Linked DNA regions of Schizosaccharomyces pombe. The protein of the gene in region 1 interacts with the protein of each later gene in a pairwise test. Each region holds a gene or a part of one and is shown in the gene's direction. Other genes may lie near its edges. The genes, in order: php4 and pst1.

The links.
Region 2: the proteins of php4 (region 1) and pst1 interact in a two-hybrid assay, tested with the Schizosaccharomyces pombe proteins (one large-scale study listed by BioGRID).

Annotation. Positions count from the first base shown.
Region 1 is NC_003423.3:1,914,506-1,919,427, reverse strand, and holds php4 (CCAAT-binding factor complex repressor Php4), read left to right. Parts: upstream 1-2,535; 5' UTR 2,536-2,690; coding exon 2,691-3,578; 3' UTR 3,579-4,053; downstream 4,054-4,922. Other genes in the region: SPOM_SPBC16E9.02C (CUE domain protein ), read left to right, coding at 1-1,267. UniProt on the Schizosaccharomyces pombe protein: Component of the transcription regulatory CCAAT-binding complex. Required for the reprogramming of the cell for iron use. Down-regulates pcl1, sdh4, and isa1 underlow-iron conditions.
Region 2 is NC_003423.3:2,449,297-2,457,651, forward strand, and holds pst1 (Clr6 I prime and Rpd3L histone deacetylase complex subunit Pst1), read left to right. Parts: upstream 1-2,731; 5' UTR 2,732-2,755; coding exon 2,756-2,885; intron 2,886-3,020; exon of another isoform or gene 3,021-3,022; coding exon 3,023-7,461; 3' UTR 7,462-7,823; downstream 7,824-8,355. Other genes in the region: gfa1 (glutamine-fructose-6-phosphate transaminase), read right to left, coding at 1-1,209, 1,415-1,485, 1,554-1,558.

The DNA of each region.
Region 1 (4,922 bases):
CAAAGATACATTTATGCGTGGATTCCAATCATTTAAGCAAAGAAGTATGGAATGGGTGGAGAATATCGCTTCCAAATTTGATGGTGAGGAAGAAGACGATGATGATGAAAAGTATTCTGCACCTTCTAAAATTTATCCTTCTCCAAGAAGATCTACTGCTGCTACTTTGGAATCCGCATATGAAGAACGACCACCTTCGTTACCACGTCGTAAACCCTCTCGACCAGGAACAGCCATTACGCTTCCCCCATATGAATCTGATCCACACATGCTGAATGAGAAAGATTTTGAGAGACTTCGCTTAGAATCATCTTCATCTCCAATGATGAGGCGATCTTCATTGAACTCCAACCGTCGCTCCGTAGAATCAAGTTCTTCAGCCGCCTTTGTGGAGGGACAATCCTTCATTTTGGATAGCAATGGTGCGATTGAAGTCGCTAATTCTGCTTTTGCTCTCGATGATAGTGATCTTGAATCAGCTTACAATGAAGAGTTAGAGATGAAAAAAGACACAAGTAAGCCTACTGCAAGCACTAAGGAAGTTGTAGTGGAAAAAAAACCCGACGAGTCACGAAAGCAAGCCGCTCGCACGCTTGAGACCGTATCAGAAGAACAAATGGGATCATCCAATGCTAAATCCAAGGTACTAACATCTGAGCCAAAGGACTCTACCTCTGTTGAAGCCGAAAAAACCGAAACTGATGAGCCTGCTGTTGGTAAAGGAGCATCCGATGTGTCTGATACAGCTGAAATTTCTGAGAAAACTGAAGCCAAGAATGCTGATTCGGAAGCCAATTTAGAAGAGAAATCTGACGTTGGGGAAGAAAAGGAGAGTAAGGACGAAAATAACAAAGCTAGTCTTCATAAGGATGTTGAGGAGAAAGATACAAAGATAACAAATGAAGACACTGGTAAAACGGAGACCGATGTCAAAGCCAAGGAGACTGATAGTATAGAGGCCAATGACAAGGATGAAAAGACCGATAGCAAAGAAACTGAGGACAAGGTCGAAGAAACTGAAAGTAAAGAGGCCGATGTCAAGGCTAAGGAGACTGATAGTATAGAGGTCGATGACAAGGAGGAAAAGACCGATAGCAAAGAAACTGCGGACAAAGTCGAACAGACTGACAGTAAGGACACTAACGAGAAGCCTGCGAAGGATGATAATAAAGAGGCAAATGAAAAGGCTGAAAAAGTTGACAGCAAAGATGTTAAGGAAAAGATCGAGGAGGCTGCTGATCTACAAAATTCGGGAAAAGAGACTTAAGGGAAAGAACAACAAGGCACATCATGATAGGTTCAAGAGTTGTAATCAGCTAATGGTACTATATATGCCTTGAGTATTCAGGGTACGAGTAGCTTGAAGATTTAAATTTTGCTATTTTCGGTGTTCCTCAGCTTTACAGTAAATGTTTTAGCGCTGTTTCGATTTTTCTTATAAGTAATGTTTTTTCGAGCTCTTTTGTTTCATATTTTTATAATTGAATTATTAATAATCAATTAAATTTTTCACGACAATCGCAATCCCGTTGATGAATTTGCAAAGTAACTTTAATTTAAGATTGTGCTTGAAGTTTTATCGAAACCATTTGGATAAACTGAGTAGCTAAGTATCCATACATTCACTCCATCCTTGCGTGCATAGCAACCTTTATTCTTTTTACCACTACTGTACATGAGACATATGATGCTTACAAAAAAATGATATTCATTGAGAAGGCACGAAACAACGTGAATTATTAAAACAACGTATTTTAACTACAACAATAACTGAATACAACATAAATCAAACTAAAAAATGATATAAAATATAAAAACTGTACGTAGCATTCGGTCATCACGAGCCATGGCACGAAGCAACGACTTCACGATGGTTTTAAGCTATGCTGTCGGTCTCCCCGACATAATCTATACCGATTCCATGAAGAGGAAAAAGCTGCAACCATTAATACGGTTCTATATTATAACCGCGTTAGAAGAGAGCAGACTTTTTGACATCAGTAATTCATTATTTTGTGAGATGAAGCTTTGTTTTAACTCACTCACATTTCTTATATACTAGGAGTCAAAAAACAGTCACATGTGTTAGTGCACTTTCGTTTCATCTCATTATATCAAAAATATAAACAAATGTTAAATAATCTTCAAAGGACGGTATGACATGAGAAAAGCAGTGAGTCAGAACATTAATTTAACTCCAAAAAAGTAACATGGATAAGCATTACTATGATAGTTGGTGTGCCGAATGATTGTAGTATTACATAGCCAGAGCCCAGAGTTTATTAGGTCGATCGGTTTTAATCAGATGATGTCCACCATACCCGCGTTTTTTAATTGGTTCTGTAACTGAAATGATGGGTATTGAGAATGTATGTCAACAGCGCCTCTAAGCCGACCTGTTCACTAATCCGTTTTTTCCCGAAAATTGAGTCTTTAAAGATATAACGAGGTGTTGCATACCGGGTTAACAGTACAATCATCGAACCACACGGCACTTAGATCAGATATAATTTAATCGTATCTCTTTATCAGATTAAAACAAACCACCAACGACAAACGTTTGAAAAAGTGAGATTTTTAAGCTTGGTCAGTAGAGGCATTGGAGTATTGGAAAATAAAGATTTATATATTTTGCTAAAAGTGTAGTTCTGTACTTGATATCTCCTATCCCCCCAACTTTTTTTTTGCTCATGGAATCGTCTAAAAGTCCATCGGAAGTGGAAAAATCATCTTCTGCTTCTCCAGCACCTCAAAAGCCGATGATTCGCGTCTCTAAACAATGGGTTGTTCCTCCTCGTCCCAAACCAGGAAGGAAACCTGCGTTAGATGCTCTGGGAAGAAGAAAGGCACCTATTAAACCAAGACCTGGGCCGACTTCAGCTTTGTCGGTCGAGGAAGCCAAATTCCGTGTTCGTGAAAAACAATATCAGGATACGATCGGAAAGTTACAGAAGGAGAACAACGAGCTGCTTGAGCAGTTGGAGATGCTGCAGGCTCAGTTGAAGAATTCTACTTTGGATAGCCCCAAGGAAGTCGAAGTAAACTCTGAAGTTGTCAAGCCAGATTCTGCGACTACTGAGAATGAAAACCGTTATGTAAATCAGTACAATTATCCGGTCGAGCCGCCCTGTGCTAAGAATGCCGTTTATACAGAGATTCCCATTGAGCTAGATCCTCATGCCTTCTTGGGTGATTCGGCCAAGAGAATTCGTGTGGATAGTGACAGTAAAGATGCAAAGTCCGTTCCATCCGAAAATGGAAGAATTCGTGTATCTATGTCTCCCCAAAACGAAATTAATTTTACACCTGAAAACCCAGCAGTAATGGAGAAGATACGTAAACGTGGTGTTTGCAATAGTGTAGAAGGATGTTTGTACTCTGGAAGCCCTAAATCTGTTAAACGTGTCCGTGAATCCGAGGAAACCAAGGTTTATGCTCAACTACTTATTGACTTACACAAGTCCTCGAAGTCTGCTCCGATGTTAAAGGCAGGTCCTTCAATCGCCTTCAAACTTCCTACCATGGAACCAAATTTTAACGATGTTCGTCCCGTCACTTCCATATCCTCTTCTTCCTAAGTTTCCCAAAAGTTTTTGTCATCTCTCATCTCCTCTTGTTATTGCATCTCAGCAGCGACTTTTCTGTTTGTAAGTGATCTCCATTACCTTTTTCCATGGTACGGAATTTTTATTTTCGGACTTAATTATCTTGCTTCATACTATTTTATTCGTTGTGCATTTTCGTTCTTTTTGGATTTCTTTCTGTTAATACTAACGTTCACTACTGGTATTTGAACCAATACATTCAGAAATATTACAACATTTTATTTTTCGTGTTCTTGGTATTTGTTTTAAGAGTGTGTTTTTTTTTTACTCACTAGACTGGCTGTACGTCGTAAAGTATGTTTCCTTGACATATTCTAGTCTAGATCGCTTTGTTCATTACATTGCTTCCTTTTCTGTTATATATGTTAATTTCACTATATGTTTTGTTTTTATATATTTTCTGATTTGTATAGAAAAGAATAAATCTTTGTTATATTTTTACTCAAAATGTTCATAGCAAACATTTGACTTTACAAACTGCTAAGCAGTGTTTTTAATAAATTTAATGCTAAAGCCTTCACTGTGTTTATTATGGCTTATGTTTGAAGCTTCGTATTTCCAAATTTAAAAAGTGAATAATCTAACAATGTTAATATGCTAGTCAATTTTTTTTAACAGTGTGGTGTACCACTAGAATTTCTTCGTTTTGCAATTGCCCTGGTTGAAAGAAAACTTGCTAGAGCACCGAAGTTCTTGTGTACGGTAATCTTTTGGTGAGACCAATCCACTTTCGCATTCAAGTAGAAAGAGTTGTAGTGTCCTAAGGATCTTATATGTCTTTCTTTCAGCGTCATAATCAACTCATGGTTTTTTCAATTCAATTCAATCATATAAAATAGGTAAATTGCTAAAATTGATTAATTTCATTTTGTAAATTTGAAGAGGATATAAAACAGTGTGCGCTATTTCCCCTAATGATCATTTAATAAGTAGTTACAATTTTATATGAAATCCAAAATTACATATCGTCAATTACGATTAAAAATCGTTCTTTGTGATGTGCTTACAATTGAGCTTTTATTCATAACTTTTTTTCAAAACAAGTATTATGCATGTTAACTGTAATTGCATCAAAAACTATATTGTGCTGCCAATTTTAACCAAAATCCTATATGACTATCCTGGATGCATGATTTTTTTCGTAGAATTCTCTATTGTCAATTAGGGTGCATTCACCCCAATTATAGAACATCAAATTATAATTCAACTTTAAAAACTTTTATTTCATGTATTACTATATACTCTTTGAGATACATAATTGATAGTACTCTAAAATACAATGAATTTATATATGAGTATACCTCCCTGCAAATCTTA
Region 2 (8,355 bases), 540 kb from region 1:
GGAAAACTGATGGACAACGGTCCACAAAATCAGACGCTAACTCCACCACTACAGGGATATTAGTGAGTTCTTCGAACAAAGGACGAACGGCTACACATGAATGGTAGGAGGTTCCACAAGCCACGAAAATTAGGCGACGACTTTTGCGAATAATGTCATAATAACTTTCCAAACCACCCAATGTAACAAGCCTGTTTACAAAATTAACACGTCCCCGCATGGTATTTAACAGGCTATCTGGCTGTTCACAAATTTCTTTAATCATGTAATGGTCATAGTTTCCTTTCATAACACTGGCAATCTCCATCTCCAAAGTTTCAATGGTACGAGTCGTACTACCACCGCCTTCACGACGCAACCTATGAACATGTAATTCACCATCGCGAACGTGTGCTATATCATCATCTTCTAGAAACATCACACGCTTAGTGTACTCAATGATGGGAGTAGCATCAGATGCGAAAAAATACTCTATGGGACCCGGAACTCCTTCACCCGATACAAAAGCACGACTTTGAGCGCGATGTAACAAGTCGGGTTTGTCACCACGAAGCATACCATTGGTAGCTGGGTTGGAAAAAACTGGATGCAAGCTGGTGGGTTTAGGAGTTCCAGGTAGACCTTCTGCAGGCTCGGGAAATTCTACATCGACAAAGTCAACTTTGAGCTTTTGCTCACTTTTGACACCAACTATTAATGGAGAACCACGACGAGTTGCGACCACTTCACCAGGGTAGTGACTGCTTTTAATGAGTAAAGCGTAGGCACCTTCAAGTTCACGAAAGACGAGTTTAGCGAGTGATGTGAAGTCAACTCCTGGAGTAGTGTCGTAAATAAATTTAGCGAGCTTAGCCACACATTCAGTATCGGTTTCGCTTTCAAAAACCATGCCTCTCGATTCAAGAACGGTGCGTAGCTCACGATAGTTGGTTAAAATACCGTTATGAACGACTATGAATTCACTATGAGGGTCAGACCGCTGGGGATGACAATTAATGGGAGAAGGGATGCCATGAGTTGCCCAACGGGTGTGACTAATGGCGCAATGGTTGATAAATTTAGTGGATTTATTCACGTTCGATCCTTTTATAGATGCCTCTAATTTACTAACATTGCCAACTTCTTTGAACATGATGAAGTCTTCACCTTCATCTCCATCGACAGCACATCCTGAAGAATCATAACCCCGATATTCCAGACGTTTGAGACCTAAACCTGAATTAGTAAAATGAGTTTTAATTTGTTTATACTTTTGTTTAATAAGTAAACAGAAAATTGAAGTAGCAGATAGATTAAATGTCATGAGAGAGAACACATCACAAACAAAGCGTAATCACTGTGATCGAAAGCAATCCACAACTTAAGCATTTCAGAAATTGACATATTAAAAACAATATAAACGATTTTAATTTACCTTTAACGAGTGTTTTGAGGATATATCCACGGTCTCGTTCAACCAAATAATTAATATATCCAAAGATACCACTAGCTTCGTATTAGCATAAAAGGACGATCAAATATTTAAATAGATATAAAACAAACAAATAGCTTACCACATTGATAAGTAAAATCGACTTTTCCAATACTAAGGAAGAGTTGGTGGTCGTTCAGTGAAGGTGGTGGGGCTTAAGGATCTGTGCATAAATATATACAATCCGTCAGCCGCTTTGTCATCACTGTATAGAGGACTTTGATGGTGAGAAGCAATATAAACGAGAGTCTAATTTAATCAAAGGTTTAGACTCATAAATTTCTAAAGGCAGCTTTCTGCAGAACTTTGCAATTGATAAAGTATAAATAACACTTAAAAATGGAGATGTAAACATTCTTGCATAACGGTTGCAAAAATTCTATTGAATGTAATTTAATGGCCAAGACAAGAAAGTTACGATGAACATGTTAAATTGAGGTGGTGTAAATTGATGAAGGGTCTTTTGGTTCACCCTAAGTATTCAAAACAATTGATTAAAAAAATTTTCGGTTGTTTCTTAATCATAAAAGAATTTGGGATATTATTAAACCTTACTACTTTATTGTTTTTTTATTGTATTTTCCTTAAGATTATCCAGACTATTTTGTGTGTTTTCTCCTTAAATAATGAACTAATTTTTCATACACAAAACAGCAGACTGAAAAATAAATAATATTTTTCTATTAAATATCAGGGTTGACCAGGACATTTCAATGACAATGTACGCCTTCACTATACTATTGGAAAACGTTAGAACAATTTCATCAATTTAATGACTTTCTCATTCAAGCATTATAAATTAGTCGATTTCAGAAGAAAAAAAAGTAATAATAAAATTTTTTTATCTAATTCTTCTACCATGTTTGTAATAAACTATCAATCTGCTGATTCAGCGCTTAATCTTGAAAACTTTTAATAAAATCCTCATATTGCTTGATCCAGTTTGGCCTGATGTTTCTCCTTTACACATCAATCAGAAAATTTCGGGGATTGAATTTTCAGCTAAAAGTACTTGCTGCCAAAATATTAGAAACCGCATACCAGGTCATAGTCCTCTAGCACTCACTTTCATATCCAAGACGGCCGTTTCGGTTTTGGGTTGTTTACTTCTTTTTTGTTACTTGAAAAAATGTTACTCGAAATATTACCTCGGTAAATCCTTTTCTTCCAATCGCGTTTGAAAAATCTCTCGTTTATGGATCGCGTATCCCGCTTAAATCGCTAGAGTATGTCAACCATGTTACGTGGCCAGGACCGACATGCTCTATACCAACAACTTTTGGGATGGCAAAAGACTGGCAAGATGCACGTTTAGGCCAATGCCACAGGCTTGAAGATTATTCCAATGTCGCAATAAATTATACAGGACCTTACTTGACTCCTTCTGGGACGATGGCCTATCATCCCGGTAATGGTATGTAATTTGCTCTAACTTGTTATGGTTTTGACATGTAAAACAATATTGATTTTATTGTAAACAGTAGGATTTGTTTTACTTGAAACTACTAATTACAAAATATATTTGTATAAAAATACTAATTATTTGATTAGCACCTTTATTTACTCAGGCCCCTCCTCACACCAACCCACAAGGACCACCTCCATTCCCTTTATTCAACTCTATCAGTCCAGTATACGATCCGGCAACGGGGCGTTTACTTTACCGTAATGTAAATACACAAGTGTCTCATACAGCCATACCGAATCCTGCAAATGGGTATGCTGCTGTTTATGGTGGGCCGCCTTCGCAGCTTCCTCCCCCACCACAACCCCAGTCGCACCCTAATGTTACTGTGATCTCAGCAAGTCCCGCTCGCGCCATTGAGCAACAACCGACCATACTTTCTTCTACTGATTCTAATATTCCTAGACCAGGCACTGTAAAATCTTCTGCTTCTCCTTTTGTTCCTAATCAAAATCCTTCTGCTCCACCTCCACCTCCTCAAGAGTACCGACAGTTGAATGTCACAGATGCTTTATCATACCTGGATCTTGTTAAATTGCAGTTTCATCAAGAACCCGAAATTTATAATGAGTTTTTAGATATCATGAAAGAGTTCAAATCGCAGGCGATTGAAACACCAGAAGTCATTACCAGAGTTTCAAAATTATTTGCTGGATACCCAAATCTGATTCAGGGTTTTAATACATTTTTACCTCCTGGATACAGCATTGAAATAAGCAGTGCAGATCCTGGATCTTTGGCAGGAATCCATATCACTACGCCTCAAGGTCCTCTAATGATCAATGATTTAGGTAAAACCACTGCTCCTCCGCCTCCACATGGTTCAACTACACCTCTTCCTGCGGCTGCCTCTTATACTTCCATGAATATGAAACAATCGTCAGCCTCTCATCCTGTTTTGCAACCTCCGGCTCCATCTACATTGCAATTTAACCCCTCTCCTTCTCCAGCTGCTCCATCATATCCTCCAGTTGATGCATCTGTGAAACAGGCTGCCGATCTCGACCAAGCCATTAATTTTGTTAATAATGTTAAAAATCGGTTTTCCCATAAACCTGAAGCCTATAACTCGTTTTTAGACATCCTAAAATCATACCAACACGATCAACGACCTATACAACTTGTCTATTTTCAAGTATCTCAGTTATTTGCGGAAGCTCCTGACTTATTAGAGGAGTTCAAGCGTTTTTTACCTGACGTATCAGTTAATGCTCCCGCCGAAACTCAGGACAAGTCTACAGTAGTGCCTCAAGAATCAGCTACTGCCACTCCAAAACGATCTCCATCAGCCACTCCTACGAGTGCACTCCCCCCTATTGGTAAATTTGCTCCACCCACTACTGCCAAAGCCCAACCTGCACCTGAAAAGCGTAGAGGAGAACCTGCTGTGCAGACTAGAAATCATTCCAAAAGAACTAGGACTGCTACTTCTTCCGTTGAGGAGACTACACCACGTGCATTTAACGTACCTATAGCACAAAACAAAAATCCCTCAGAACTTGAGTTTTTGGAGCATGCACGCCAATATCTTGCCAATGAATCAAAGTACAATGAATTTATTAAACTCTTGGAACTTTATTCTCAAGAGGTTTTTGATAAAAACGCACTCGTTGAGAGGTGCTATGTTTTTTTCGGTAGTAATGAGCACTTAATGAACTGGTTAAAGGACTTGGTCAAATATAATCCTGCAAACCCGATCCCTGTACCTAGACCTAGAGTAGATCTTACACAATGCAAAAGCTGTGGACCAAGTTACCGCTTATTGCCAAAAATCGAGCTTTTGCTTCCTTGCTCGGGTAGGGATGATTTATGCTGGACAATTTTGAATGATGCATGGGTTAGTTTCCCAACTTTGGCTTCAGAGGATTCTGGATTTATTGCACACAGGAAAAATCAATTTGAGGAAAATTTACATAAACTAGAGGAGGAAAGATATGAATATGATCGTCATATTGGTGCTAACATGCGTTTTATAGAACTTTTACAAATTCATGCTGACAAAATGTTAAAAATGAGTGAAGTTGAAAAGGCAAACTGGACTCTTCCATCTAATCTAGGAGGCAAGTCTGTCTCGATTTATCATAAGGTCATTAAAAAAGTTTACGGAAAAGAACATGCACAGCAAATTATCGAGAATCTGCAGAAAAACCCTTCGGTAACCATACCAATTGTTTTGGAACGTTTGAAGAAAAAAGATAGAGAATGGAGATCGCTTCAAAACCATTGGAATGAACTTTGGCATGATATAGAAGAGAAAAACTTTTATCGAAGTTTGGACCATCAGGGAGTATCATTTAAAAGTGTTGACAAGAAAAGTACCACTCCCAAATTCCTTATTTCTGAGCTTCGTAATTTAGCCCAGCAGCAGAAAGTTGAACTATCAGAAGGGAAAGTCACACCCTCTCACCAATTTTTATTTTCTTACAAGGACCCCAATATTATTACTGATATTGCTCGTTTGTTTGGGGTTTTTCTGATTCATGGTTCAACTCACTCTGCTGAGGATAACGAGAAGATGTCTAATTTTCTTCGGTCGTTTCTTTCACTTTTTTTCGATGTTCCCTATGACTCGTTTATTCCTTATCTTCCCACTCATTTTAACGAAGAGGAATCTGATATTGATTCTTTGTCATCTAGTCTCATAGAAAAACCGAGAGCTTCCAGTTCGCCCATTCACCATGCTAACAACAATGGCCTAAGGCTTTTGAAGGATGTATTAAAGAAGACTTATAGAGGAGCTCGTGAAAATAGAAGTTCAGTTAAGGAAGATTATGTATCAGAAAGTACTGAGAGGACACCTGACGCCAGTGAAATTGATGAACATATTAGTGAGCATGAGGAAAATGACGATGAGTCTTCATCAGTTTTTTCAACTGGCGAAGTTTGGGTGAATTGTAAATTTACCGATACTGATGGTAGTCTCCTTGACGATGGAACAAAATTGTCTGATCGTTCTGTGTATAATTTATTTGGAAACATGAGCCTGTATTGTTTTTTTCGTTTGTTCCACACTTTATATTCAAGGTTAGAAGAGATTAAAAATCTTGAGCAAATGGCTTATAGTAAGCAACATGATGTCAAATCCAATCCTGTCGCAGTTGAGCTCGGATTAGTTCGCCATCCTTCTGAACGTCTTGGCTTTGCTTTACCTACAGCTGACACTGTTTACGAGCAAGCGATTCAGTTGTGCGAACGCTTGATGGAAGGTGAAATTGATCAAAATGGGTTTGAAGATGCTTTACGTTGTCTTTACGGTATTCATGCTTTTAGATTATACACCGTTGAAAAATTGGTCACTTCTATTATTAAACAACTACATTCCGTTACAACCAACCGTCGCTTGGCTCAAGTTTTCATGTATTACGAGAAAGATCGAGTACAAAGACGTACTAGTCCTCGTCAACAAATCATGTATCGGATACAAACAGAGACTGCGTTTGGACCAGATGAAAATTTATGTTGCATTGATTGGAATTCACAAACTCGACAATCAGCCATAAGGCTAATGGGACGCGAAGATCTAACAATGGGAACTCTCAAGTCGGATGCAGAAAAGTGGTGCTATTACATTGGAAGTTACATAATGTCGAGTCCGACTGAAGGCATATTACCTGAGCATGTTCGAATACCATTCCTTCGAAAATGCTTGCCCTCAGATGAAGGAAATGAGGATGACGAGTCTAGTTCCGTGGTAAAAAGTGCAAATGCTATTATTACTAGTTTCTTGGAATCAGGACTAGCCTTGACAATACCAATTAATACCGTTAAAATCAGATATGAAAATGGGACCGAAGATGTATTTGCTAGAAATTCTGAGCAAGTGTATAATGGTCCTTATGATAAAATTCGTGATTACCGGCAATCAAAATGGCGTGAATGGCTTAATAGTGATGAAGGCTGGACACAAGGTCTCTCCAAAGATAAGGTAAGACGTATCAAGCCTTGTACCATAGAAAGCTTATTCAATGAATCCACTCTTCGCTCCGGCAAGGCTGAGCGGTTTTCTGAAAACGCAGGTGTTGAAAGCATAGGTAAAAAGGGGAAAAATTTGCTTAATGAATCTGGGAACGGAAAGAAACTAGACAAAGGGCTGCCACCGAAAGTAAATGGAAAATCTTCTGTAACAAGAGGAAACAAGACTAATTTGAAAGCTCGCAATGGGCGTAATAACGATGACAGCTCAAATAAGATCAATCTTTCCGAAAAAGAAAAAGAAAAAGAATCCATTGAGGATGAGGAGAAAAATCGGGAAGGCAGCATGTCTCCCGTTGCAAAACATGCTTCAGACGTTGAAGATGATCACGACGTAGCGAAGTCTACAGCTCCTGACTTTGAGACTTCAAGTCATCGCCCCGAGAGATCTTCTGAAAAGAAATCCCCATCACCAGTGTTTACAAGTGTAAAACAAACGGCAGAGAATGATGCTGATAATGAGGACGATAAAACTGATATGGACGATCAAACTGAAGAGACGCTGGACGCCGACAACACGATGGAAGAAGAGCCTTCCAAGGATGATCTGTAGATTTATCCATTTCTGTTTTCCTCGATATCATTTATATCATTTCTTGCTCCCATCTTAGTTTGTGCATAACTCCCCAATTCCCTAATCTGTTCTTGCAAGCCATTGTTAGTATTGCAGCTAATACCCCCAAAAGTTTTTGTTTTCTTCTCTAAGCATTTTCGGCATTACCATTTTACTTAATTTTCTACGTAATTATCAAATTTAAAGGACATCTATCTCTGTTTTGTTATCATTTCTGTTATTCTCTTTATAATCTATGAATCTGCTGTACCTATATATTTTGTTTCAATAAATAATCTTTGGCGTAACAAGGAATTTATTATAATAAATATTTTTTTTGTTTCGAACAATCTCAAATTACCACAGTGAATAGTGCTTCAATTGTATTTTAATAGTAAAGAATCAATTTTTGCTGAGAGTTTTTCTTGATCTCTACCAAGCAAAGCGGTAATATGAAGTTTGGTCGCGGCTAGCGTAATCCGCGCTCCGTCTTTATGGGTGTGGACGAAAGTCGTTTGATTTTTAGCAAAAGTACCCAACTTTTCAACGTATATGAATAGCATGCAATTCCCTTACTCATAAAAAACACGCTTAGATTTAGAAAGCTAATTGGTTTTCTTTTCTGAATACTAGTATATATCAATTAATAGCTAAGCAAGAGTTTTGGTGATATAATTACTATTTGAGATATTGCAGCACACCTATTGTTTACACTACGTTTATTATTCCGTCTTTACATTTTTCTTCTTCAATCATTAAACTATAGGTCATTCTACGTTCAATGGTATAAAGTTCTTGGAACGGAATTTACAACAGACCGAATTTTCCATAAGAACCCGAGTTCAGTTTACACTTATTCTGCTCAGCATTCCCCATTTTCATGTAAATAATTGC